Linked DNA regions of Macaca mulatta. The protein of the gene in region 5 purifies or fractionates together with the protein of the main gene of each other region. This does not show direct contact. Links are inferred from orthologs where the notes say so. Each region holds a gene or a part of one and is shown on either strand. Other genes may lie near its edges.

Region 1 (5,069 bases), on a different chromosome or scaffold from region 5:
CTCTTAAATGTTCTGGAGTTTTACAGGAAAGTAAACACCTATTTGTAGATATTGATATGTAAAAAGTTCAAATTTCAGTGTATGACCAACTACAGTTTGCATTTCTCTACAGAGTACCCCTCTGTGATGGAATTTCACTGGAAAATAGTCAGCCACTTATGTCCAGCACAAATAAAGTTCACAATAATTGTTTATCCCAAGTAAACAATCAGCAAACTTAATGTTTTACTTACAATAAATATATGCCGTATACTTAGCTTCTATAATGTCATCACTCATTGCTTCTTCATGGCAGCTTCACAGAGACTGTGAAACAGATCATGGAAAGAAACTGATTTTACCACGTACGAAGTTAAAGTGAACCATGCGTCACTTAGGGTGTGGTGGCTCACGCCTGTCATCCCAGCACTTTGGGAGGCCGAGGCGTGTGGATCACGGTCAAGAGATCGAGACCATACTGGCCAACATGGTGAAACCCCATCTCTACTAAAAATACAAAAATTAGCTGGGCATGGTGGCACGCACCTGTAGTCCCAGCTACTCAGGAGACTGAGGCAGGAGAATCGCTTGAGCCCGAGAGGCGGAGGTTGCAGAGAGCCAATATCACGCCATTGCACTCCAGGTTGGAGACAGGGCGAGACTCTATCTCAAAAAAAAAAAAAGAAAGAAATTAAAACTCCGGCCAGGCGTGGTGGCTCACACCTGTAATCTCAGCACTTTGGAAGGCCGAGGTGAGTGGATCACCTGAGGTCGGGAGTTCGAGACCAGCCATGACCACCATGGAGAAACTGTGTTCTCTACTAAAAATACAAAATTAGCCGGGCGTAGCGGCAGGTGCCTGTAGTCCCAGCTACTCAGGAGGCTGAGGCAGGACAATCACTTGAACCTGGGAGGCGGAGGTTGCAGTGAGCGAAGATCGCGCTATTGCACTCCAGCCTGGAACAAGAGCGAAACTCCGTCTCAAAAAAATAAAAAACAAATGAAAACTCCACTGACCCTTTCAATATGTGGGCAGATCAATGTTAGATGCCAGTTTAAATCAGAGGTCAGCAAACTCTTTCTGCAGAGGGCCTGAAAATAGTTTTGGCTTGTCAACTCAAAAGGTCTCAGTTGCAACTAATGAACTCTGCCATTTTGCAAAAGCATCCACAGACAATACATACGCACATAAGCACAGCTCTGTTCCACCGAAACTTTATTTATGGACACTAGAATTTAAACTCCATATAATGTTCAAACAAGTGGTGGACTGGACTTGACAAGTGGGCAGTAATTTCCTGACCCAGGGTCTGAATACAGATTCTGTTTTGACACATATTTATTTGCTGGCAATTAGGTAACTTCATTATTAATAAGTGAGAACAATAATACAAAATTTACTTAAGGCTTCGTCTAAACTGCTGGTGTATAAATTTTTAAGACAAATTTTAAAAGTTACTTATGTCAAAATTAAATATACTACTAGAGGAACAAACTGGCCAAGTTTCATTTATTTCTTCACGTAACATTTTTACAGCTCACATACAGCAGGAAGCACACCTTTGCACATAATTGTGACATTAGCTTCACAACAGCATCTGCTGACTGCACTTCCAATCATAATATAGCAAGTGCAAGTTCACTTGGAAATGTACATTTATACACCTGATATAAATTAAAGATGGCTACACTATGATTCGTGATAGCAAAAGCATGACTTGAGGTTCCTTGACTAGACCGCTTGTTTAAGAGAAGTGTACCCAAGCATTTTAAAATGGCCATTTGGGGAACAGGCCAAAATATAAAATATCTATCATGTAAAATTTAACCATTTACCTTTTTAAAAAATAATCTTCAAACTTGAAACCTTTGTTACTGAATTGTTATATGGATATACATCATGGCAGCAAGAACCACATTTACTATAGGCTGTATTTTTGGCGACCGGCCAATTAAAAAAATTTGTTCATAAAGTAATATTACTTTTATTAAAAAAAAGCTAAATGAAGTATTTTCCTTCCACATTTAATGTGTTAGGTTGAGTTTAGTCCCCCTCCTCCCACAAGAAATCAGTCTGAGACTTAAGTGTTTAATCAAACCTATATTTGTAGTTTCTAAAATGCTGATCCACAGACCACTTTCTTGTTACACGTGTACCAATGAAAACAAAAGGCAAACAGAATCACTGCCATCCCTATGAAAGGAATGGTTCCTTTTCTAACATTCTTTAAAAATATACATTTTACACTCCCTGCACCTCAACAAAGGCGGCAATGTAATAAATACACGGTTTATTTTGTCCTCCTCACTACCAGGCGCCTGTCCACAAACTACCTGTTGTAAGCCCTCTCTTTTTTGGATTTCTCCAGGGCTTTGTCCATGGTCTTCTCGTTCTCCCCCCGGCACTTGGGACAGTACCACTTGCCCTTGGGTTTATGATTGAGCCCCACGCACGAGAAGTGGAACCACTCGATGGGACACTCGTCGTTGTCACAGCCGATCATCTCCCCGTAGGAGACCTGGTTGCACAGACAATACGTGGGTTCGTTGGGGTCGATGGGGAGGTCGGCAGGGGACGCCTCCCGCTCCGCCTTGGCCTTGGAGCGCTTCTTCTTCTTGGAGGTCTTGGCCTTCTTCTCCTTGGGTGTGCCCGAGGCGCTGTCCTCGTGGTCGTGGTTGCTGGACGCGTTCTCGCGGTTCTCGTTGTTGCGCTGCCTTCGCGAGCGCTTACTGTTGGGCTTCTCAGCCTGCGCTGCCGCCTCGCCTTTGGGCCTGTCCGCGCCAGCCTTGCCGCTGTTGCCCGCTGTGTCGCCCAGCTCCTGCTGCGCCTCGAACAGCTCCACGTGGCTGTCCACTTGCCGCGTGCGGTTCTCCACCAGCTCCACCATCTGGCTCACGATCTGGATCTTCTCATCGCCCAGCTCCTGGCTGCGGATCAGCGCGCGCTGTACACAGTGCAGCATCCGCCGCTTCTGCGCCCCGTCCGTCTCGCGGCTAAAGCGCTCGTAGTACTCGTCCAGCTCCTTCAAGATCTCTGGGGGCAAGAAGGACAGGCATCACTCGCGAGCAGGACATCGGGACAACCCACACGGCCCCGGACCCGGGTCTACGGAGAGGGCTGGCAGGGGGCCCAGGGGCCAGCGCACGGCTTGCCCAGCCCACCAGCCACAGGCCCTCCAGGGCCTCTCTGTTCCTGTGCCCTGGAACTAAATGCAAATGCCAGAAGAGCTCCCACAGGAAGAGGAGCCGCTCCAGCCATCCCAGAGAGAACCACAGAACAGTTCCTACGCACGGGTGACAATGCCCGAAGCCATTAAGAGGAAACATTTAAATGAAGTGCAGTGCTCGGGACCCAACCTGTATTAATACTTTCTATTAATGATTATGTCCTATACTGCCATCATTTTTACTCAAATGTTTCTATTTGAATGCAATTATTAATATACATATAACGTTATATATAAACATGGTATTTATTACATTATACACAATATACAAACGATAAAATATAAATTATTTGAATATTTCAAATAAAAAAGGTCTCTATTTTAACATACCAACATCTAGAATATCCTGTTAAATTAGAGAACGTGTATAAATTTATATAATAGCTCTCTATGATTTAAAGAACCGGGTTAACAGCAAAGGTCCAGGCTACTTTGTGTTAGGTCCTCAGTTTCAGTCCCCACATTTATTCTAGCATGTTATTCCTCTGTATTAGTGAAAGCAAGAACAGTTCTGCCACAATAATCCAGAAAAACCTAGCTTTGCTTTATTATTATTATGACTGTTGTTATTATTATTTTAGGGGCAAGGTCTGTCTCTGTCGCCCAGGCTGGAGTGCAGTGGTGCAATCTCGGCTCACTGCAGCCTCGACCTCCCAGGCTCAAGTGACCCTCCCACCTCAGCCTCCTGAGTAGCTAGGACTACAGGAGCACAACTGTAATGGGTCATTATTATTATTTTTTAACTGCAGTGAATGTACTAGCCTTGCTTTAAAACAAAGCTGGTAGATTTTACTTTTGCATCTACTGCTTAAACAAAAACATCTTCACATCTATTAAAGTCAATGGACTTTAAAATGCCATCAAAAAGAAAAGAAAACCTCTTCAGTATTTAAATATAAAACTTCTTGGGCATGTTAGAGGACAGTGCATATGATTTTAAAGTGTAATTAGGCAATTTCTCAAGAAACAAAAGCTGTTAAAAAAATCTAGTTGAGGCCGGGCGCGGTGGCTCAAGCCTGTAATCCCAGCACTTTGGGAGGCCGAGACGGGCGGATCACGAGGTCAGGAGATCGAGACCATCCTGGCTAACACAATGAAACCCCGTCTCCACTAAAAATACAAAAAAAATTAGCCGGGCGTGGTGGCGGCGCCTGTAGTCCCAGCTACTCGGGAGGCTGAGGCAGGAGAATGGCGGGAACCCGGGAGGCGGAGCTTGCAGTGAGCCAAGATCGCGCCACTGCACTCCAGCCTGGGCGACAGAGCGAGACTCCGTCTCAAAAAAAAAAAAAAAAAAAAAAAAAAAAAAAAAAAAAATCTAGTTGAAATAAGGGCAGTAAACAGTCTTGCCAAAAGGCTACTCACAAAGAAATTCCAGAGCTCTTTTTCCTCAAACAATAACCATTAAATTAAACAGTACCAGATTATTCTCCTAAAACCTTTTTGCAGTCTCTTTAAACAAGGCAACAATACTACTTTTTTTGTTGAGACGGAGTTTTGCTCTTGTTGCCCAGGCTGGAGTGCAATGGCGCGATCTCGGCTCACTGCAACCTTGGCCTCCCAGGTTCAAGCGATTCTCCTGCCTCAGCCTCCCGAGTAGCTGGGATTACAGGCATGCAACACCACGCCCAGTATTTTCAGTAGACAGGGTTTTCTCCATGTTGGTCAGGCTGGTCTCCCAACTCTCGACCTCGTGATCCGCCTGCCTCAGCTTCGGAAAGTGCTGGGATTACAGGAGTGAGCCACCGTGCCAGGCCAACAATACTACTTGTAAACTAGGAAGGGTATGGGGAGGGGCTGGGAGTGGGAGGGATTGTCTAAAATGGTACCCCCTCCCTTTCCAGATCTTATCTCCAAATAGTTATA
Region 2 (4,733 bases), on a different chromosome or scaffold from region 5:
GCAGACACACACAGTAAGGGAGAATCAGGGTAACCATCAGAAGCAGCACAATGCTGGCTCTCTTTGGAGGGCAATTTTGTCTACCTACTTCTGCTAACTGGGCCTTATTGAAGCCTGGTCTGGTCTGCAACTTGTAGTGTCGTTTATAACGTCGTAGGGTGTTCACTTGCAGCTGGAACAGATCAACCTAGGGAGAAGAAGAGAAAAATGTTATCCATCACTTGACCAACCAGGACTCACCAAGAGCCCACTATGTGCCTAGCACTACACTAAGGTAGGGGTGAGGATGGGGAGGGCTTCAAAAGAGGTCTTAGAAATGGTCCATTGAGGACTAGTAACTGGTTGGGAGGGCAAAAATAACAGTGGAAAAACAGTTCTGGCTGGGGTGGGCTGATCTCACACAACTGGTGGAGAAGGTAAAGCTTAAGCTAAGGAGAAGCAGGGTCTGATAAGGCACTGAGAAACAGGGTAGGGAACAGGAGAAAAGATCAGAGCACAGAAAGCTGGAAGAGGCACAGATGGGCAAGGGGGTCACAGGCAACTGTGATGGGTTTAAAAGGTGAGAATGGATGGTAGCACATCTAGAAAAACAGAAGGAGCTATCACAGAGGGTAGAGGGTGATGGCACAGGATGGGTCTGGTGGTGGCTGTTGGGAACACTGATGGGGGAACACAGAGGGAGATGCTATAGCAACAAGCAGAATGAGATAAAGAGGTTGAGCTTTGGAGAGGCAGTGACGTTAGAAGGGACACCAAAGATGGAGAGCAAAGGCAAAAACCAGAGACATCCTGGAGGAAGATAGGCCAGAACGAGGCAGCGACCAGATAAAGGGGCACAAAGGAGGGCAGTGGGAAGAACTGTTATCCTCAAATAGCCCTTTCCTAGGCCCAGCCTTCTGGTGTTAGAATCCTTAACCTCCCTCCAGAGAAAGTTCAAAAGTTACTGTAGTGAATGTGCAAACCAGCAGGTTAGGGTTGGGGTCTTTGCAGATGACTGGATAACAGAGGGGAAGGGACCCCCCCTTTTTGTTTCTAACAAAGGAAGAGAGGAAAGCTGCATAGTCATGAAAAATCGAAGGCCCATAAAGTTGGGCTGCCTTTACCTGCCTCTAAAAGAGCTGTTCTTGCTTCAGGCAGGTGGAGAGCACTTAAAAACAAAATGAATGATCAATATGAGGGGCCAAAGTCCTTCATTCTTTTCAAAACATTCCTTAAAACCTTTTTTTTTTTTTTTTTTGGTGAAAACCACTTAGAAATCGAATACATCCATTTCTTTATAAAATAACAATAATGCTAAAAGCAACAGCAAGATTCTGTAAACCAACATTGGAAAAGGGGACACAGGGAGGGGCAGAGGGAAAGGGCCAGATTTTCAACGGTTTCCTCCACATCTGCAGACAAAGGCCCGCCTACTCTTTCTATTCCTACACAGTCATTTTCACTCTGAGTGCTAACAGGCGGTTGCCTTATGAAATATTCATGTGTCAAATATTCAATGTACACTATAAACGGTTCTTCTTTTGCTGAGTCTTGAGTGAAAACAATTTAGTAGAAAGAAAATCCAATATTCCTTCCTGAAGCCTCACTTAATAGACACAGGCACCTGAAGGGAAGGCGGCCTTCCAGTTTGAGAAGCCTAGGTCTTATGGTCTAGCGCAGTGGTTCTCAACACAGGACGATTTTGTCTTGTAAAGGAGGTGTGGCAATGTCTGGAGACACTTTTCGATTGTCATGACTCAGGATGGTGATGGGTAGAATCCCATGAGGGGATGCTGCTGCGGCATGCTGTTAAATATCCTACAATGCAGAGGACAGTCCCCACAACAAAAACTATCTGACCCCAAATGTCAACAGTGCTAGAGTTGAGAAAACCAGGTCCAGTTTAGTCAACTTTGAAATGGATCCTTGGGAACAGCCTGGACTAGGTGTCAAGAAACCAGTGAGAGAAAATCAGAGCTGGTATGAACTGATGACCTACATCTTCATTTTCTGGGGAAGAGACTTCTCCCAAACCATTACACACTCTCTAAAGGTTTTAAACAAGGTTTTTTAAAAAGTGACACTGTGGTTGTATTTATGCATTTGTCAGGGGCGTCTTGCAGAAAAACAGCGTGGTCTACTGGAAAGGGCCCCAGACTAGAGCCTCCAAACTATATACCTGACCTTGGCTCTCTGTGCCTGTCCATAAAATGATGGGGCAGTCTGACCAGTGGGTATCCAAGCTTTTAGCTCTCAGATTCTGTATTACTATAATTCACTTTTCAAATAATCCACAGCAAAACAAAGGGGACTAAAATTACTTCTTAATACAAAAAGCAGACCAGGCCAGAGGTGAGGATCAGATTAGAATCCATTTTTCCAGCTTCCGCAAATTGATTTCTTTGACCTTTACCTCAGGAATGTCAGTGTCGTGCTCGGGAGAATCTCCACCATCGTCACTTGTCTTCCTCTTCCTTTTATTTCGGACACTCTGGATGAAATTTTTGTGAAAATCACAGATATATAGGTGCCTTACCTGACGGACAGAAAAATCAAAGTCAGAGTTGGCCAATTCCTTGGAGACAGCAACAGGTATCTGTCAAATTGTGGGGCTTCCGTCCATTGCAGGGCATTGGAGAGATAGACAGAAGACAAGATGTAGGCCTCCCAGAAGCTCACTACTGAGGTGCAGAAGAACACCAAGAGAACGCTAACATCACACTTTGTGGCGTATCATACACCAAGCCTCCAGTGAATGGTGAAAACAGTAAATGGTACAGATTCAGCAAAGGAAGAGATTCCTGCAACAGAGATGCTCAGGGTGAAGGGCCCTGACTAAAAGGGAGGACTTTAGGCAGACAGGAAGCATTCCAGATGGGTAGGAGTGCCAAGACTTTAGAGTTTCCAATGGAGGATGACAGAAAGAGTGAGGAGGCCCAGGGTACAGTGTCAGTTGGGTGATGATGGCTGCCCATGTAATGTAGGAGCATAATGAAAAAGTGAGGCATCTGGGCGGTGGGCATGAGAACAGCTTAGACTTTCCTTCCGACAAGACAGAGTCCCTCAAGGAAGCAGGGAGTGATGCGACATTTTCAGAAGACCTGTAGGAGTCACGAACTTATAGTGGGCTGGAATGCACTGTCCTGGGGAGGAGGAAAGCAGGACACAAGGGACTGTGGCAATGGTATTTGGGACACTCTATTTTTACACTTACAATAGCTACTATTGTAGGATAATAACTCTCTGAAAAACTTTGTTTCTATGTGTCAATTTATAATTCTTGCATTATCTCACATCTGATCCACAAAGAAAAGTGGAAAAAGATGTGGAAATTCTTACAAGGTAGAACCACATACAAGAAGGTGGATACTACAGATTTTCTAATACAGGATGGAGGTAAGTGAAGGTGGCAGCAACAGCTAAGACATGAAGAATCCTCCATGGCTGGCTGGAGGAGCCATTGAAAAACCTTACAGAAACTGAATGCCTGGCAAATGACTTGGGGTTGTTGATAGTGAAACAGCTGTTTCACAAATGTTCTGCAGAGACTTCTGAATTTGAGTTTATTCCTTAAATCCTTAAAGATAAAAGTAAGCTGGCAGGAAATCGCATCAATTAATTCAGACCTTTTCATGGAGAAAATAATGAAAACTGTTCATTCAGATGAATGATCACTTTCATGTGGCTGGATTAGTGAGTCATGAGTACTTTTAAGTTTATACCGTGATGGTGTCTTGCAGACGGGAGGTACTCGGAAAATGTTGATGTACCAATATAGGAAATCTCCTATATCTAAAAGTGGCTTAGGCTAATGAAAGCCACTTACGTGGTTACAAATTGGGATAGCTTTGTCAGATTCAACTCGGACTTTCGAACACAGCACATGCCACTGTCCCTAAGAATCCCACCTAGCTGATGTATATAATACTGAACATGCTTTTCTCCAGGAAGAAAGCACAACAAAGCCCACTCTGCATCCCTGAGAGGAAGCTGGTCCTGCACGTTAGCTAGACTGGCGAGACCACTCAGATCAACTGCTCAAGTTCACATTAACAAACTTCATAGGAGAACAGAGAGAATAGGTGGCTTCCTTAAGCTTCGGCTGGGAGATTTCAGATCAGGACAATAGAATAACAGAATCCTAGTTGTAAGAGAATTTAGCAATCACTAGTACAATCCCATTGACCCCAATCCCGTTTTCTAAAAGGGTAAAAATGAAGCCATCCAGAGTGAGGAAATGACCTGGCCAAGGTCACCCAGGCCTTCTGCCCCCCTAGTACATGTCTTTTCCTACCGCAGCATTTTCCTTTATACTATTCTCAACTTCCACTTTTCTCCGGGGGAAAAAAAAAAAAAAAAAAGCAGAAATGTCAACTGGGGGTGTATTAATATTTTAATAGATCACAGAACACTGCCAAAGTCTATATAAAATGAGTTAAACAGCCTGAGTTGAATTTTTGGTGCTGTTATTTAAAAAGGTTCTCTGCTATACTCTCTTACAAGATAAATAATAATTTTCTCCTTAACCCTTTTCATGTACATACTGGTTTTCAGAAATTTCAGAGCTCAGTGGCCTTTGGGAGTGGGGTCGGGGCAGGAGGTGGTAGCAAAGGCTCTAGGTTTTTTTCCTTCACTTTCTGCAATAGCTAAAAATTATTGTAACATAGCAGTTACTTGGAATTGAATTCCTGCCCAAGCCTGTGAGAAAGAAATAGAATCCCTTTCAGAAATAATGACTCCACAACACCACCTTA
Region 3 (4,733 bases), on a different chromosome or scaffold from region 5:
TTCCAAAGTACTAGGATTACAGGCGTGAGCTGCCGTGCCCAGACCGCCACCACCTTTTTTTTTTTTTTTTTTTTTGAGACGGAGTCTCACTGTGTCATCCAAGCTGGAGTGCAGTGGCACAATCATGGCTTGACTCACTGCAGCCTTGACCTCCCAGGGTTAAGTGATCCTCCTCTCTCTGCCTCCAGCGTAGCTGGGATTACGGGTGCGTGCCTCCATGCCCATTTAATTTTTATATTTTTTACAGAGATGGAGTCTTACTGTGTTACGAAGGCTGGTCTTGAACTCCTGGGTTCAAAGGATCTGCTTGCCTTGGCCTCTCAAAATGCTAGGATTGCAGATGCGAGCCACTGCACCAGCCATACATTTTTTGTTTTGTTTTTTATTGGAGACAGTCTTCCTCTCTCGCCCAGGCTAGAGTGCAGTGATGCAATCTTGGCTCACTGCAACCTCTGCGTTTTGGGCTCAGGCGATCCTCCCACCTTAGCCTCCCAAGTAGCTGGGATTACAAAAAAAGATGTTTTTTTGTGTTTTTTTTTGTTTTTTATATTTTTGTATTTTTAGTAGAGTTAGGGTTTTGCCATGTTGGCCAGCACAGCGTAAAATATCTTTTTAATGTCAGGCTTTTATAACTTTTTAAGAAGATGTTTTAAATGAAATTGTCTTATACTCTGTATTGTACTTTTAACTATTTCAGCTCATTTTAGATGATTTTCAGGTAGTTTATTCATAAGGCTACAATATCCAGAATGAATTCTACATTCCACAGTTGTGGCTCTTCTGTCTGATGTCCATCAGGAGAATCCAGTGCCCAAATTGACCCTGTTAAGAAAACATCACAAGGAAGTGGCCACTTGGTCAATCCTGAGATTTAACTTCAGGTGCCGCTCTTGTTTGTGCCGCTATCTTACATTGGGAGACTGTGACATACTGTCTCACGTTTAATGTCTTTACTAGTCAATGATGAATCTGGTCGAGATTCTGAAGTCGGTGCCAGGGAGCACATGAGTTCCAGCAGCTCCCTCCAGTCCCGGGAGGAGAAGCAAGAGCCTGTCGTGGTAAGGCCCTATCCACAGGTGCAGATGTTGTCTACACACCATGCTGTCGCATCAGCCACACCTGTTGCAGTGACAGCCCCGCCAGCACACCTGACGCCAGCAGTGCCACTTTCATTTTCGGAGGGACTTATGAAGGTAATGGAGAGGGTTAAAACTTCACACTGAACCAGAGCTCAAGACTGGCTCATCTCTATAACAATTTGTACAAAATCTTAGGCTGTATGGCCGGGCGCGGTGGCTCAAGCCTGTAATCCCAGCACTTTGGGAGGCCGAGACGGGCGGATCACGAAGATCGAGACCATCCTGGCTAACACGGTGAAACCCCGTCTCTACTAAAAAATACAAAAAACTAGCCGGGCGAGGTGGCGGGCGCCTGTAGTGCCAGCTACTCGGGAGGCTGAGGCAGGAGAATGGCGTAAACCCGGGAGGCGGAGCTTGCAGTGAGCTGAGATCCGGCCACTGCATTCCAGCCTGGGCGACAGAGAGAGACTCCGTCTCCAAAAAAAAAAAAAAAAAAAAAAAAAAATCTTAGGCTGTATCTTAGGATCGTATTTCATTTTTCCTTTATGACCTATGAGTTCAGCACCTCTGTAACTCAGCCCTGATTTTCTGCAGTGCCTCGTCTTGTGCTGCTGGGCCATTGGCATCACAGAATCTTTGCTGTTATCCATTTTGATACTGATATTATTCAACCTATGGGCATGTTAAGTTAGATAAGGGACCCTCTTTTTTTTTTTTTTAAGCCAATCAGATTTTAGCAGTGGGGGCTTAATGACACTAATTTTTTTTTTTTTTTTTTCTTTTTGAGACAGAGTCTTTCTCTGTCATCCAGGCTGGAGTGCAGTGGTGCAATCTTGGCTCACTGCAACCTCCACCTCCAAGGTTCAAGCAGTTCTCCCGCCTCAGCCTCCCAAGTAGCTGGGATTACAGGCACACGCCACCACGCCTGGCTAATTTTTGCATTTTTAGTAGAGACGGGGTGTCACCATGTTGGCCAGGCTGGTCTCAAACTCCTGGCCTCAAGTGATCTGCCCGCCTTAGCTTCCCAGAGTGCTGGGATTACAGGTGTGAGCCACCACACCCGGCTGACAGTGATGTTGTAAGTTCTGATAACCCAGTATCATGGGACCAACTGGAGTAGCACTCTTCCTTAAGGTCTGTTTTAGCAACTGGTTAATTTGGGGGTTTCTGAGAATACCGCCTGTGCGTTACCTGGGGGTTCTGTTTCAGTTACTGGGAGTTTTGTTCAATCCACCCAGACTTGGGAGGCGGCATCATGTAGAAGAAAGGGTGTGGGCTGTGAGCCATACAGCTCTGGGCTTTGTTCCCAGTTCTTCTTACTGTGTGTGTGGCTTTGAGCAAGTCAGTTAGCCTTGCTTTGTATGTTTCTTTATCTGTGAAATAGAAATGCTAGTACTTCAGTGGAAACACTGTGATGCTAATAGATAAAATGTATAAAGCTTATGGCATCTTTCCTGGCACTCTCCAGGTTCGATTTGTGTACTCTTAATTCTGGATTGAGACGCATCACCAGTATGAGGCCATTGATATGTTTTGTGTGGTTTTCTGTTTGCAGCCGCCCCCGAAGCCTACCATGCCTAGCCGTCCCATTGCTCCTGCTCCACCTTCCACCCTGTCACTTCCGCCCAAGGTTCCAGGGCAGGTTACCGTTACCATGGAGAGTAGCATCCCTCAAGCTTCAGCCATTCCTGTGGCAACAATCAGTGGACAACAGGTTTTTCTTCCTTTTAATTTGCTGATTTTCAACTGAAATGCCAAACTATTGATCATGATTTATTGAATGCTAGCAGTACATTAGGCATGGTAATAAAAAAAGATTAAACACTCACTCATAACCTGCAAGGGAAGGTAGTAGGTTTGAGAGAGAAGGATAACTGTAGGGAGTAGAAGCCAGTATCCATAGTGGTCATTTAGCTAGAATTTATTGAGCAGCTACTAGCTGCTCGATTTGACCCTCAGTGTGATGTATAAATCTGGATAAAACAGTCCGTGTCCTTGAGTCCGGAGTGTGGTTTGTGTTTGATTTTAGCGTCAAGAACAGCCTCCCAGGGGTAGTGGTGGGCAGTGCTTCTCTGTGGTTTCTCTGAGGAGAGCAGATGGGCATCTTTGGGGTACTGGTAGGTAACCTCAAGCAGCTCTCTAGTTGCAAACTTTTTTTTTTTTTTTTGGGACAAAGTCTTACGCTGTCACCCAGGCTGGAATGCAGTGGTGGGATCTTGGCTCACTGCAACCTCCACGTCCCGTGTTCGAGCAATTCTCTTGTCTCAGCCTCCCAAGTGGCTGGGATTACAAGCGTGCGTCACCACGCCTGGCTAGTTTTTTTATTTTAATAGAGACGGGGTTTCACCATGTTGGCCAGGCTGCTCTCCAACTCCTGACCTCAAATGATCCGCCCGCTGTGGCCTCCCAAAGTGCTAGGGTTACAGGCATGAGCCACTGCACCTGGCCTTAGTTGCCAACATTTATTTTGAAGTCTTCTGTTTTAAGGCTTTTTTTGTGAAATTTTGCAATCCTATTCTGCTGTGTACTTGATTAATTAAATATTTAAAATTTTTTACCTGGGGAAAAAAAATAAATCTAAAAACGTTCCCTTCACGTTTTCAAGAAAAATTTATATTCCAAAGAGGTGTACTGTGTTTTTTCCTTTTGTCATACTGCTGAGTACTCTCAGAAGTACCAGAACCCTTAGCTGAGAAGCACTGTTCTCTGTGGTTTGGGAGAATGTGAGTAAGGGACATTTCAGGATTGAGCTGAAGAACTGGTAGCGGAGCACCTGTTGGATGCTAACTGACATTTACTTAGAAACACAAAGCTTAAAGAATGGATGGATGCAGTGGTATGTAAAGGAAATTGTGAGAATGGGAAAAAATAAGCATTTGGCCAGGACAGAAAAAACAAGTGTGAAAGGTAATATCACAGATGAGAGTTTCTAAAAGTAGATATCAAAGTATGTTATCTGTTGAAAGTATGTTATCTGTTATTATTTGGGCCTGCAGCAGTTGTGGGGTCCTCATACTTCTCACATGCCTGTTAGCACAGTTCATTATACAGTACAGCATGTAAAAGTAGCTCAAGCTAAATGTCCTTAGCCCTTTCCCTTGGGATACTCACTATCTAAAAGAAAAAACCTGACCCACATTTGGAGGCAGGTGACTTCCTAGAGGCAATGGCTAAGACCAAACCTGTGAAAATAACGTTCTATCCTCTTTCTCTCAGGGCCATCCCAGTAACCTGCACCACATCATGACTACAAACGTGCAGATGTCTATCATCCGCAGCAATGCTCCTGGGCCCCCTCTTCACATTGGAGCTTCTCATTTACCTCGAGGTAACGACTTGCAAGTTTTGTTCAAACTCTCAAAATGCCGTAGCAGATATACATTTGTTAAAATGTGTAACACAGAATGTGTCTAGAATCAGCTTGTTAAAGTTGCAGGACAAGTCTGCAGAATCGTGAACCAAGTAAACCTCTTTTATTTAAAAAGAAAAAAAGGCCAGGTGCTGTGGTTCATGTCTATAAACCCAACACTTTGGGAGGCTGAGGTGGTAGGTTCACTTGAGTCCGGGAGTTCGAGACCAGCCTGGGCAACATGGCGAAACCCTGTCTCTGCAAAGATACAAAAAATTAGCCAGGTGTGGTGGCAAGTGTCTGCA
Region 4 (4,733 bases), about 78 Mb from region 5:
AGAATCCTCCTGTTTTTTAATTTTCTTCTCTTTTTGCTTTGGTGTATTTTTTCTCCCCAGTAGTAGCTCATTTTCTTTTTTCTCTGCAGTTTCATAGTCATCATCTGCATCCTTATTTTCTGTATCATTGTCTTTTAATTTGTCTTCTGTTTTCTCTTCTTCAATTTCCTTTTTAATAGAATTTACATCTCGAGCAATTCTCCTTCGTCCCTAGTAGAGGTGATAAAAGCTTTAAAATAGCTATCACTATAAAGGGGAAAAAAGCAGGAAAAAACATCTTTTCCTTTAACCTTCACAGCAATGACTCTGGCTTGAAACACGGCCCTGAAACCAACTCAAAGGTACATTTCTCTTCCTTTTGAAAGTAAAAGAATAACTAATATAAATTACTTAATTATGTCCAGGTCTACTTTGGCTACATACTACTTAAGAAATATCTGTCAGAATCTGTTTGAGTGAAAAAAGGAAACAACAACAAAAAAGAAATAAAAGTTGTCTCCTTTGTTTACTACGTCATTTTATCTCACTTTTATTCTCAACTATAATAAAAATTTAAAATAAATTATCTAATGTTAATGATAAAACGTAACAATAATAAAGCAAATCCCCTGAATTTTGCTTCTTTAAAAGCTCTGTGGTCTCTAATTCTACAGCTTAGTAAGACAAAATTTACATTGTCACTGTATTTGTGGATGACTACATTTTAAAAGGACTGAATTGCATAAATGGCAAAAAAAGTGAGGAGACTTCTTTGAATGAGTATCTGGAGAGTTCGCTGGGCCAACAGCAATATGTTTTACCCCCACTAGCTTCTATCTAGCCCACTGAATGCTGAAGTGACCATGACTGGTGAGCAATTTCACTATCTCCTAGGTTCTATTTCAAGACAACTTTTATACACTGGCAGAATTCTCCTCTTCTTGGAATAAAGCAGATAAACAGCCGGCAACTTAGGGAGCATTAGGATACAATTAATATCTCAGTAAGCAAATGTTTTCCCTAGTTGCTGGCTATGTGCTATTTACACTTCAAAGGCAGGAAAAGAAGAAATTTTTTTCTATCATAAAGCACTAGCATGCAAGTTCCAAGATGGCACTTCCATCTCCTCAGATCTACACAGTGGCTGGCACATAGCAGGTGTTTTTGTTTTTGTTTTTTTTTTTGAGACAGAAGCTCACTGTGTCGCCAGGCTGGAGTGCAGTGGTGTGATCTCAGCTCACTGCAACCTCTACCTCCCAGGTTCAAGCGATTCTCCAGCCTCAGCCTCATGAGTAGCTGGGACTACAGGCGCACGCCACCATGCCCAGCTAATTTTTGTATTTTTAGTAGAGATGGGGTTTCACCATGTGGCCAGGATGGTCTTGATCTCTTGACCTCGTGATCCGCCCGCCTCGGCCTCCCAAAGTGCTGGGATTACAGGCGTGAGCCACCGCGCCCGGCCTAGCAGGTGCTTTTAAAATATCTGTAGGTAAATGAATGAAAACAACTGCTATAAAACTTGGGTCTGTATGCCTTTTTCCCAGAAGTACCATTTTTATTTATTTATTCAATTTTTTGAGATGGAGTCTCGCTCTATCACCTAGGCTAGAGTGCAGTGGTGTGATCTTGGCTCGCTACAACCTCTGCCTCCTGGTTTCAAGTGATCCTCCTGCCTCAGCCTCCTGAGTAGCTGGGACTACAGGTGAGAAATGCCATTTTTAGAAGCCTGGCTTATATATGTGGATAAGTGATAAGGATATTTTTACAAGCAAATGTATTACAGCACTTTTAAAAATAGTAAAAAATTGGGAGAAAATTTAGGAGAGTGTAAATTTATGGTTCATCTATACTAGACAGCACATTGCAGATATTTTATGTAGGACGAGGAAGGTTTTTAGGTAATGACAAGAAAGTATGTCCACAATACATACAATAAAATATTATTCACCTTTAAAAAGGAAGGAAATTCTGACACGTGCTACAACATAATGTCTTGCAGATATTATGCTGAGTGAATAAGCCAGTACAAAAAAACAAACACTGTATGATTTCACTTATATAAAGATACCTAGAATATCAAATTCATAGGTACAGAAAGTAAAATTGTGGTTGCTAGGGGTTGGGGGAAGAATGAGGAGTTACTGTTTAATGGGTACAGAATTTCAGTTTTGCAAGGTAAAAATGTTCTGGAACTGGATGGTGGTGACGCTTATGCAACAGTGAGAATGTACTTAATGCCAATGAAATGTACACTTGAAAAGAGTTAAGGTGGCAAATTTTATGTTATATGTACTTACCACAATTTTAAAAAAAAATAATAAAAGAAAAGAAAACCAATTTGGAAACTTCATGACATTCACTAAAAGATTCCATTTACTACATGAAAGAATGAACAGTTTTAACAACTGGTTTCTGGACTATAAGACAAAGAAATTTCACATTCTTTTTCATTAAATATGATTCCACCAAAAAATAAGACATATTATACTAGTTAAACTTCTTTGACGGTGCGGTAAATTCCTTTCTCTTTCTAAAACTTGGTAAATCCTACTATGTAAACATTACTGGACACTGATCCAAATGCTAGATGACAATTCCTAAACAGACTTTATATATTAAAGGAAAGAAGGAGCAGAGTTGGAAGATACAACCAGCGTACATGTACACATCACTAGAGCCACACAGTGTGCTATAAAGTTACAGAGAAAGACAAGATACCATCTAGTTCAGGGCACAGGCACTATAAAGAGGTGATTCATTTATTCAACATCTATTTAATAAGCCTTTATTACGTGCCAGGCACTATTCTAAATGCCTGGGATCTGTCAATAAACGAAATAAACACTAATCCCTGACCTCGTGGAGTGTAATTCTTGTGTAGAGTGGCGCAAAATAGATAATCACAATAAACAGAATAAGTAAATTACAAATAGGAGCAACATTACAGGGACTGAGAGTTCTAAAGAGAGGAGGCAGGTTACAATTTCAGATAAGGTGACCGAGATAGCCTTCAATGAGGTGATACTTTAGCAAAAGACTTGGAAAAGGAATATCTGAGATTCATCCCAGATGAGAATGACTTGATCGAACATAAACAGAAAACAGAAGGAAGGGTTTTCAGGTAGAGAAAATAATATACAATATATTTAGAAAAAAGTAGTTAGCTAAGCAGCATTAAATACTGGAAAATAAGCTAAGTTCACTGTAGTACTTTTGTGTATATATGAAAATGGCTATAATAAAAAATTTTAAGTAATACTTAAACCAGATAAAACTAGTATTAAGAACTCACTCTCGGAGATTTTAATTCTATCTCTTCTCTTTCACTTTCACTGTTTGAATCAATATTTTCCTCAGGTTCACTCTTCACTTCTGTTAAAGGCATTTCTTGATCTAATTTGAGAGCCTCTTCCATTGATTCTTCTAAGTCTTTTTTTTCCTCTTTTACTTTTGGTTCATGGTGATGAATAGTTCTGAACTGAATATTTGCCGAACGGCAGTACTCCTCAAAACCATACAGATACCTAAACAAACAATATTTCATTTAAGAAATCTTACAGTCTTTGCATTTAACTTGAATTCACATGTTATTAAACACATTTTTAAAAAGTAAAGCCCAGTAATTTAAAAAAAAATTTTGTGTTGCTATTTTCTGTGTTACTATTTTCTTGGTGTTTTAGGTGGAATTATAAACAGAAAAACTGATCATAAAATGCTGTCCTGAGGCGTCTCAGCTTGTGATAACTAAACATAACTATCGTAAGTTTTGATATGAAGGCTGTTCACCCCAAAAGATGTAGCTCTATAATATGTATCATAATCGCAGACACTGTCTGCGTCTTGCTTTTGGAAAGGAAATCAGGACAACATAAGAAATGGAGTAAATAAGATTTGATGCAATGAAATAACTTTCAATCACAAGTATCTGTCAACCTAAACCTTTTTATACACTTTCTCTAACTTTAATGTTCCTAGATTGATGTATTCTTGTTAACAAAGTAAATGGAAAATATTTCCTATAAATATATATTCTTTGATGAATAAACTATACTACTTACTTTCTATAAGCAGTTTTTACATTGTAGGAAGCAGCTGAATTCAAAATAGGAATGCCAAGGTCCATATAAATTTGCTTCCATACAGCACCACTATCAATCTGGAAAATTAAGTTTTTATGTTAACATTTGCAAAGGGAATTAATCTTTTTTTTTTTTTTTTTTGAGACAGGGTCTCACTCTGTTGCCCAGGCTGGAGTGAAGTGGCGCAATCAGGGCTCACTGCAGCCTCGACTTCCTGGGCTCAAGTGATCCTCCCACCTCAGCTTCCCGAGTAGTTGGGACCACAGGCATGCGACACCACACCTGGCTAATTTTTGTTGAGATAGGGTTTCGCCATGTTGCCCAGGCTGGTCTCGAACTCCTGAGCTCAAGCAATCCACCCCGCCTCAGCCTCCCAAAATGCTGGGATTACAGGTGTGAGCCACCATGCCTGGCCAGGAAATAATCTTTACCCTAATATTCTATGTTCATTAAGGAAATGTATTTATTATCCAATGTGCATATAATGCAATATAAGATAATTTACCTTTTTATGACACCAATACATGTTTCAAATAGCAATGTTATACTTACATTGTCACATCCACCCTGATGATAAACCAGTCTGAAGAGTTTGAAGAGATTGAGATCTTTATAGCCCAAAACAGGTGGTTTGTTGATTGGAGTACCTTTTCAATGTAAGTAGGTAGAAATAAA
Region 5 (4,733 bases):
ATGAGGCAAAAGTTGCAGTGAGCCGAGATCGTACTGCTGCACTCCAGCCTGGGCAACAGAGTGAGACTCTGTCTCCAAACAAAAAACAAAAACAAAACTTAGGGCCAAACCGTAACAATAATTTTGTCCCTCTTCCAGAAACAAATAGGTAATGACGGAGATGTGGTTTGATGTCAAAATACAGGTACCTTCTATACATCAATGACTTACAGGGCGAGTGGGACAGAACTGGAGCCATCTTTCTTTTTCTTTTTTTTTTTTTTGACAGGGTCTCGCTCTGTCACTTAGGCTGGAGTGCAGTGGAACAATCCTGGTTCACTATAACCTCCATCTCTCGGGTTCAAGCCATTCTCATGCTTCAGCCTCCTGCGTAGCTGGGATTACAGAAGTGTGCCACCATGCCAGGCTAATTTTTGTATTTTTGTTAGAGATGAGGTTTCACCATGTCCCCAGGCTGGTTTCGAACTCCTGGCCTCAAGTGATCTGCCCACCTCAGCCTCCCAAAGTGATGGGATTATAGGCGGAAGCCACTGTGCCCCGTGGGACTATCTTTCAAAATTCTGGACTAGTATTTATATAGAGGATATGATATGAGGTCTGTAATTTACTTCTGGGGTGGGGGTACGGAGGGTGACAAAGTAACATCAGCAAAATATGGAGGATTAAGTTTATTTATTTTATTGATTTTGAGACAGAGTCTTGCTCTGTCACCCAGACTACAGTGCAGTGGCATGCTCTCAGCTCACTGCATCCTCTGCCTCCCGGGTTCAAGACATTCTCCCACCTCAGTCTACCAAGTAGCTGGGACTACAGGTGCAACCACCATGCCCGGCTAATTTTTGTATTTTTAGTAGAGACGGGGTTTCATCATGTTGGCAGGGCTGGTCTCTTAACTCCTGACCTCAGGTGATCCGCCCGCCACGGCCTCCCAAAGTGCTGTGATTACAGGTGTGAGCCACTGTCCCCGGCCTGATTGAGTTCACCTAAGAGCTCATTTTACTATTTTTAAAATTCAGGATCACCCCACTCCAGGAATTCCCAATTGCACTGCATTTATGTTTCTATCCATCTGCTAAAACTGAGCCCATGGAAACCAGAATTGATTGCTTATTCATCTCTGATCCTAGCTCCTAGTACTATTTATAGTTCTAGTAGGCATGCTGAATAAGCAAGGATTACAAAGAGTTTGGTGGTCAATGACAAGTTTTGAAGCTATAGTAAGGAGAGATGGGACTATATGAATACAAGGTATTGTTTGAGGGAAACAGGCAGTGGGAGAAGTGGAAAATGGAGGCAGGAGGTATAAGTTGAAACCAGGATAGTAAACTAGGGAACTAGTCAAACAGCTTAGGTATAAAGGTAAAGTTTAGATTTAAAATAGTAGAATGAGGAATAGAAAAGGCTATGACAGCTATAAAGCAGGAATCAACAGGTCTTAGAGAGTCTCACCTGCATTTAACAAAGGTAATTTCCAGAAATCAAAGCTGTGCTAAACATAGACTAGAGTCCTCTCACAGATGTAGAAAACCCCAGCTCACCTCATCATAGATACTCTCAATCTCATTGAGTAAGCTCTTAGACCTCAGGACCTTTGTGTCATTCTGTTTAAAGTTGATCCCCTGGTGGTCCAGAGACTTCAAGTAGTATTTCTCATTTTGTTCTCGCCATACTTTGTTAAAGCCTCGCTGAGCTTCTCGCCATTCTTCCTCTTTCATCTTCAACCTAGTGAAGTGGGAAGGGATGGAAACAACATATGGGAATTCAGAGGGTTTAGAAGAAAGAAATTTGCCAGGTTTACTTTCTTTCAAGAAAAGTCAAAGCTATATTAGGTCTGTCAAAATTATTGGCAACTTGGGATGTTATCAAACCAGTCTTGAACTCTGTTTCATGAGGAAATTACTTATCTAAGACTTATTTTGGGGAAATGAGTTATCTCAAAGTCAAATAATTTACCTAGAATGGTTACTTATCAAACAGCATTCCAGGGAATACCTTTGAGATGTAAGTATTCCTTGCAAAAAGAGTTCTTGTTTCTCTGCTGTAGGACTTTGTAAAATGTTCACAATGCTAATAGAAACACAGAAGTCCAAGAGCAGAGAACTTGCACAGTTATGTTCCTCTGGATACAGTCTGGAAAGTTCTGATCAGAACTGATTCTAATAAACCAGAAGAGAACAGGCTAAGACAAAAAAACAGCACTAAAACTGAAGAATAACCTATATTTCAAAAGCCAGAAGTTAAATACTACAGGCAAGAAGAAGAAACCATCAATCTGTGCCAGCTCTTGAGGGGAAGATGAGGGAGGACAAATAAAATCTGGGTATTTGTGAACTGTGCAGCAACTAAGAATTAGTTTTTACCAGATGATACTGAGAGAACCAAGCTCCTAACAAAGGATTTACAGTGTGGTCAATAATGACATGGGGCTGGGCATGGTGTGGCTGGTGCCTGTAATGCTAGCACTTTGAGGAGGCCAAGGCAGGAGGACTGCTTGAGCCCAGGAGTTAGAGGCCAGCCTGGGAAACATAGCAAGACCTTATCTCTATTAAAAAAAAATAAAATAAAAATTAGCTGGGTGTGGTGGTGTACTCCTGTAGTCCCAGCTATTCAGGAGGCTGAGGTGGGAGGATCACCTGAGCCTGGGAAGTTGCGGCTGCAGTAAGCTGTGTTCTTACTACTGCACTCCAGCCTGGGTGAAAGAGAGAGATCTTGTCTCAAACAAACAAACAAACAAAAAAACCACAAAGATGTTAACAACAGTTAGTCCTGAGCGTGGCAGGAACATGGGTGGTAATTATCTTCTTTTCTGTATTTTAAAATACTCCCCCAGGGTTGGGGAGAAAGAGAGGTCTCATGGGACAACCAGGTTGAAAATGAGAGACTTATTTAATGGGACACTGAACCAGTAATGAAGTACACACTAAAGCACTAAGGGCACATTTGCTCAGGTACCTTTTAAGGACAATCGGAACAGCAATGGAGGGATTCTTTCTCAGACCATCAATGATGTCAGCTGCTTTATCAGCATATATCCTCTGGAGTGCTTTTCTATGGATGACTTCTGATGTGCCCCCAAGGGTGTTGTCCAAGCGAAATTTGGCTTGTTCCTCAGCAGACAAGCGGGAAAGCTTCTTCTGTATTGCTTCCAGAACCCGGATTGTTGCCAGATTGGTCTCTAAAACTACATCAAGCTGAAGAGGAAGACAAAGAAGGGTATGCTCAGGACCCAAATCAGAATAGAATAGAGTAGTGATTAGAAAAATAAGGTAGGGAGTCAAACTCCTTGGATTTGAATCCTGGTTCTGCCCTACTAGCTACATAAGACTGTTTCTTTATCAGCAAAATAGGGATAACAGCACCTATTACTCTCACAAGCCTATTTCTGGATTAAATTATACAATCCACATAAAGTATTCAGCACAATACCTGGCACATAAGAACCACAGGATGAAGCTGGATAAACGGTAGTTATCACCACCACCACCTGCACCGTGTGCTTTGCTTAAGACTACTGATCTTAGACCGGAGGAACCTAACAAGAGATGACTTTACTGATACTTTTCCCTGAACTTTCCTGAATTGCTAAGATCCGTTATGAACAAACAATAACAATCAAAACAATACCAAAAGACGGCTCTGTCTTGAGAGTTTTTTTTTTAACTTGAAATATTTAAATATATTCAAATACTAAAATACTCAATAGCCTTGTTCCACATCCAGTAATAATAAGAGCAGTGACTATCATACCCTAAGGAGTTCACTGTTGTATCTGCGGGTAATGATTTAAATTCTTATTGGACTCCTAAATGAACAGTCTACAACCAAATGTTTGCAGAAGTGTTCCCTAAATTTTCTTGTTTTGGAAATGTGGTCATCATTTTGTCAATACTTCTGGCCCCTCTTGCTCTCCAATTACCGACAAAAAATGGACTAACTTCCTGACTCCCTTATGATTGGATAGGGTCATGTAACTAGTTCTGACAAATGAGTTGTTATGAGTTGAGAAGAAGTAATGTTTATCACTTCTAGGCTGGAGCATTTAAAGGTGTGAGATCCTTCTGAGATCTCTTTTCCTCCTAGTGACTAGCAACAATCATAATGGTGGCAATCCCTTGGCCTGAATCCCCAAGTGATTCTGATATGCCAAATCCCCTGCTAAACATCAATGTACATGTAGAATGATTAGAAATTAAACCCATTGGCTTTACAAGTCACTCAGATGTGGGAGCTGTCTGTACTGAAGCATTACTAACCTATCTTAATTGGTAAACATGTTCCTTCAAACTCGCTCATCCCACCAAATCTTAAACACATGCTTACCCCACTTCTTTCATCTTTGCCCTTGTAGTCATAAATGGGAAATGAAGTTGCCTCTCATTTGGAAGCATACCAGTTGAGAGGGGATAGGAACATTCTGTCAAAAACAGATGCCAAGCTCTGCTAACTCATCAGCTAACCTTACTAAACATAAGTAACAAAGAAATGCTTGGTTTTTTTTTTTTGAGACAGATCTCGCTCTGTAGCCCAGGCTGGAGTGCAGTGGCGCAATCTTGGCTCACTGCAAGCTCCGCCTCCCGGGTTCACGCCATTCTCCTGCCTCAGCCTCCTGAGTAGCTGGGACTATAGGCACCCGCCACCGCGCCCGGCTAATTTTTTGTATTTTTAGTAGAGACGGGGTTTCACCGTGGTCTCAATCTCCTGACCTCGTGATCCGCCCGCCTCGGCCTCCCAAA

Evidence for each region.
Region 1: the proteins of SIN3A (region 5) and ING1 purify together in Homo sapiens (affinity purification with western blotting; 5 studies listed by BioGRID and IntAct, with this or other methods). This does not show direct contact. The link is inferred for Macaca mulatta from reciprocal best matches to the Homo sapiens genes SIN3A and ING1.
Region 2: the proteins of SIN3A (region 5) and SAP30L purify together in Homo sapiens (affinity purification with western blotting; 4 studies listed by BioGRID and IntAct, with this or other methods). This does not show direct contact. The link is inferred for Macaca mulatta from reciprocal best matches to the Homo sapiens genes SIN3A and SAP30L.
Region 3: the proteins of SIN3A (region 5) and SAP130 purify together in Homo sapiens (affinity purification with mass spectrometry; 4 studies listed by BioGRID, with this or other methods). This does not show direct contact. The link is inferred for Macaca mulatta from reciprocal best matches to the Homo sapiens genes SIN3A and SAP130.
Region 4: the proteins of SIN3A (region 5) and ARID4A purify together in Homo sapiens (affinity purification with western blotting; 6 studies listed by BioGRID and IntAct, with this or other methods). This does not show direct contact. The link is inferred for Macaca mulatta from reciprocal best matches to the Homo sapiens genes SIN3A and ARID4A.

The regions. Positions count from the first base shown.
Region 1 is NC_133422.1:105,129,474-105,134,542, reverse strand, and holds the end of ING1 (inhibitor of growth protein 1), read right to left. Parts: intron 3,014-5,069; coding exon 2,310-3,013; 3' UTR 1,179-2,309; downstream 1-1,178. UniProt on the Homo sapiens protein: Cooperates with p53/TP53 in the negative regulatory pathway of cell growth by modulating p53-dependent transcriptional activation. Implicated as a tumor suppressor gene.
Region 2 is NC_133411.1:163,319,572-163,324,304, reverse strand, and holds part of SAP30L (histone deacetylase complex subunit SAP30L), read right to left. Parts: intron 2,516-4,733; coding exon 2,393-2,515; intron 188-2,392; coding exon 89-187; intron 1-88.
Region 3 is NC_133417.1:9,258,160-9,262,892, forward strand, and holds part of SAP130 (histone deacetylase complex subunit SAP130), read left to right. Parts: intron 1-957; coding exon 958-1,193; intron 1,194-2,634; coding exon 2,635-2,793; intron 2,794-4,295; coding exon 4,296-4,407; intron 4,408-4,733. UniProt on the Homo sapiens protein: Acts as a transcriptional repressor. May function in the assembly and/or enzymatic activity of the mSin3A corepressor complex or in mediating interactions between the complex and other regulatory complexes.
Region 4 is NC_133412.1:131,472,121-131,476,853, reverse strand, and holds part of ARID4A (AT-rich interactive domain-containing protein 4A), read right to left. Parts: intron 4,706-4,733; coding exon 4,611-4,705; intron 4,136-4,610; coding exon 4,038-4,135; intron 3,504-4,037; coding exon 3,272-3,503; intron 211-3,271; coding exon 1-210.
Region 5 is NC_133412.1:53,435,858-53,440,590, forward strand, and holds part of SIN3A (paired amphipathic helix protein Sin3a), read right to left. Parts: intron 3,192-4,733; coding exon 2,953-3,191; intron 1,723-2,952; coding exon 1,539-1,722; intron 1-1,538. UniProt on the Homo sapiens protein: Acts as a transcriptional repressor. Corepressor for REST. Interacts with MXI1 to repress MYC responsive genes and antagonize MYC oncogenic activities. Also interacts with MXD1-MAX heterodimers to repress transcription by tethering SIN3A to DNA.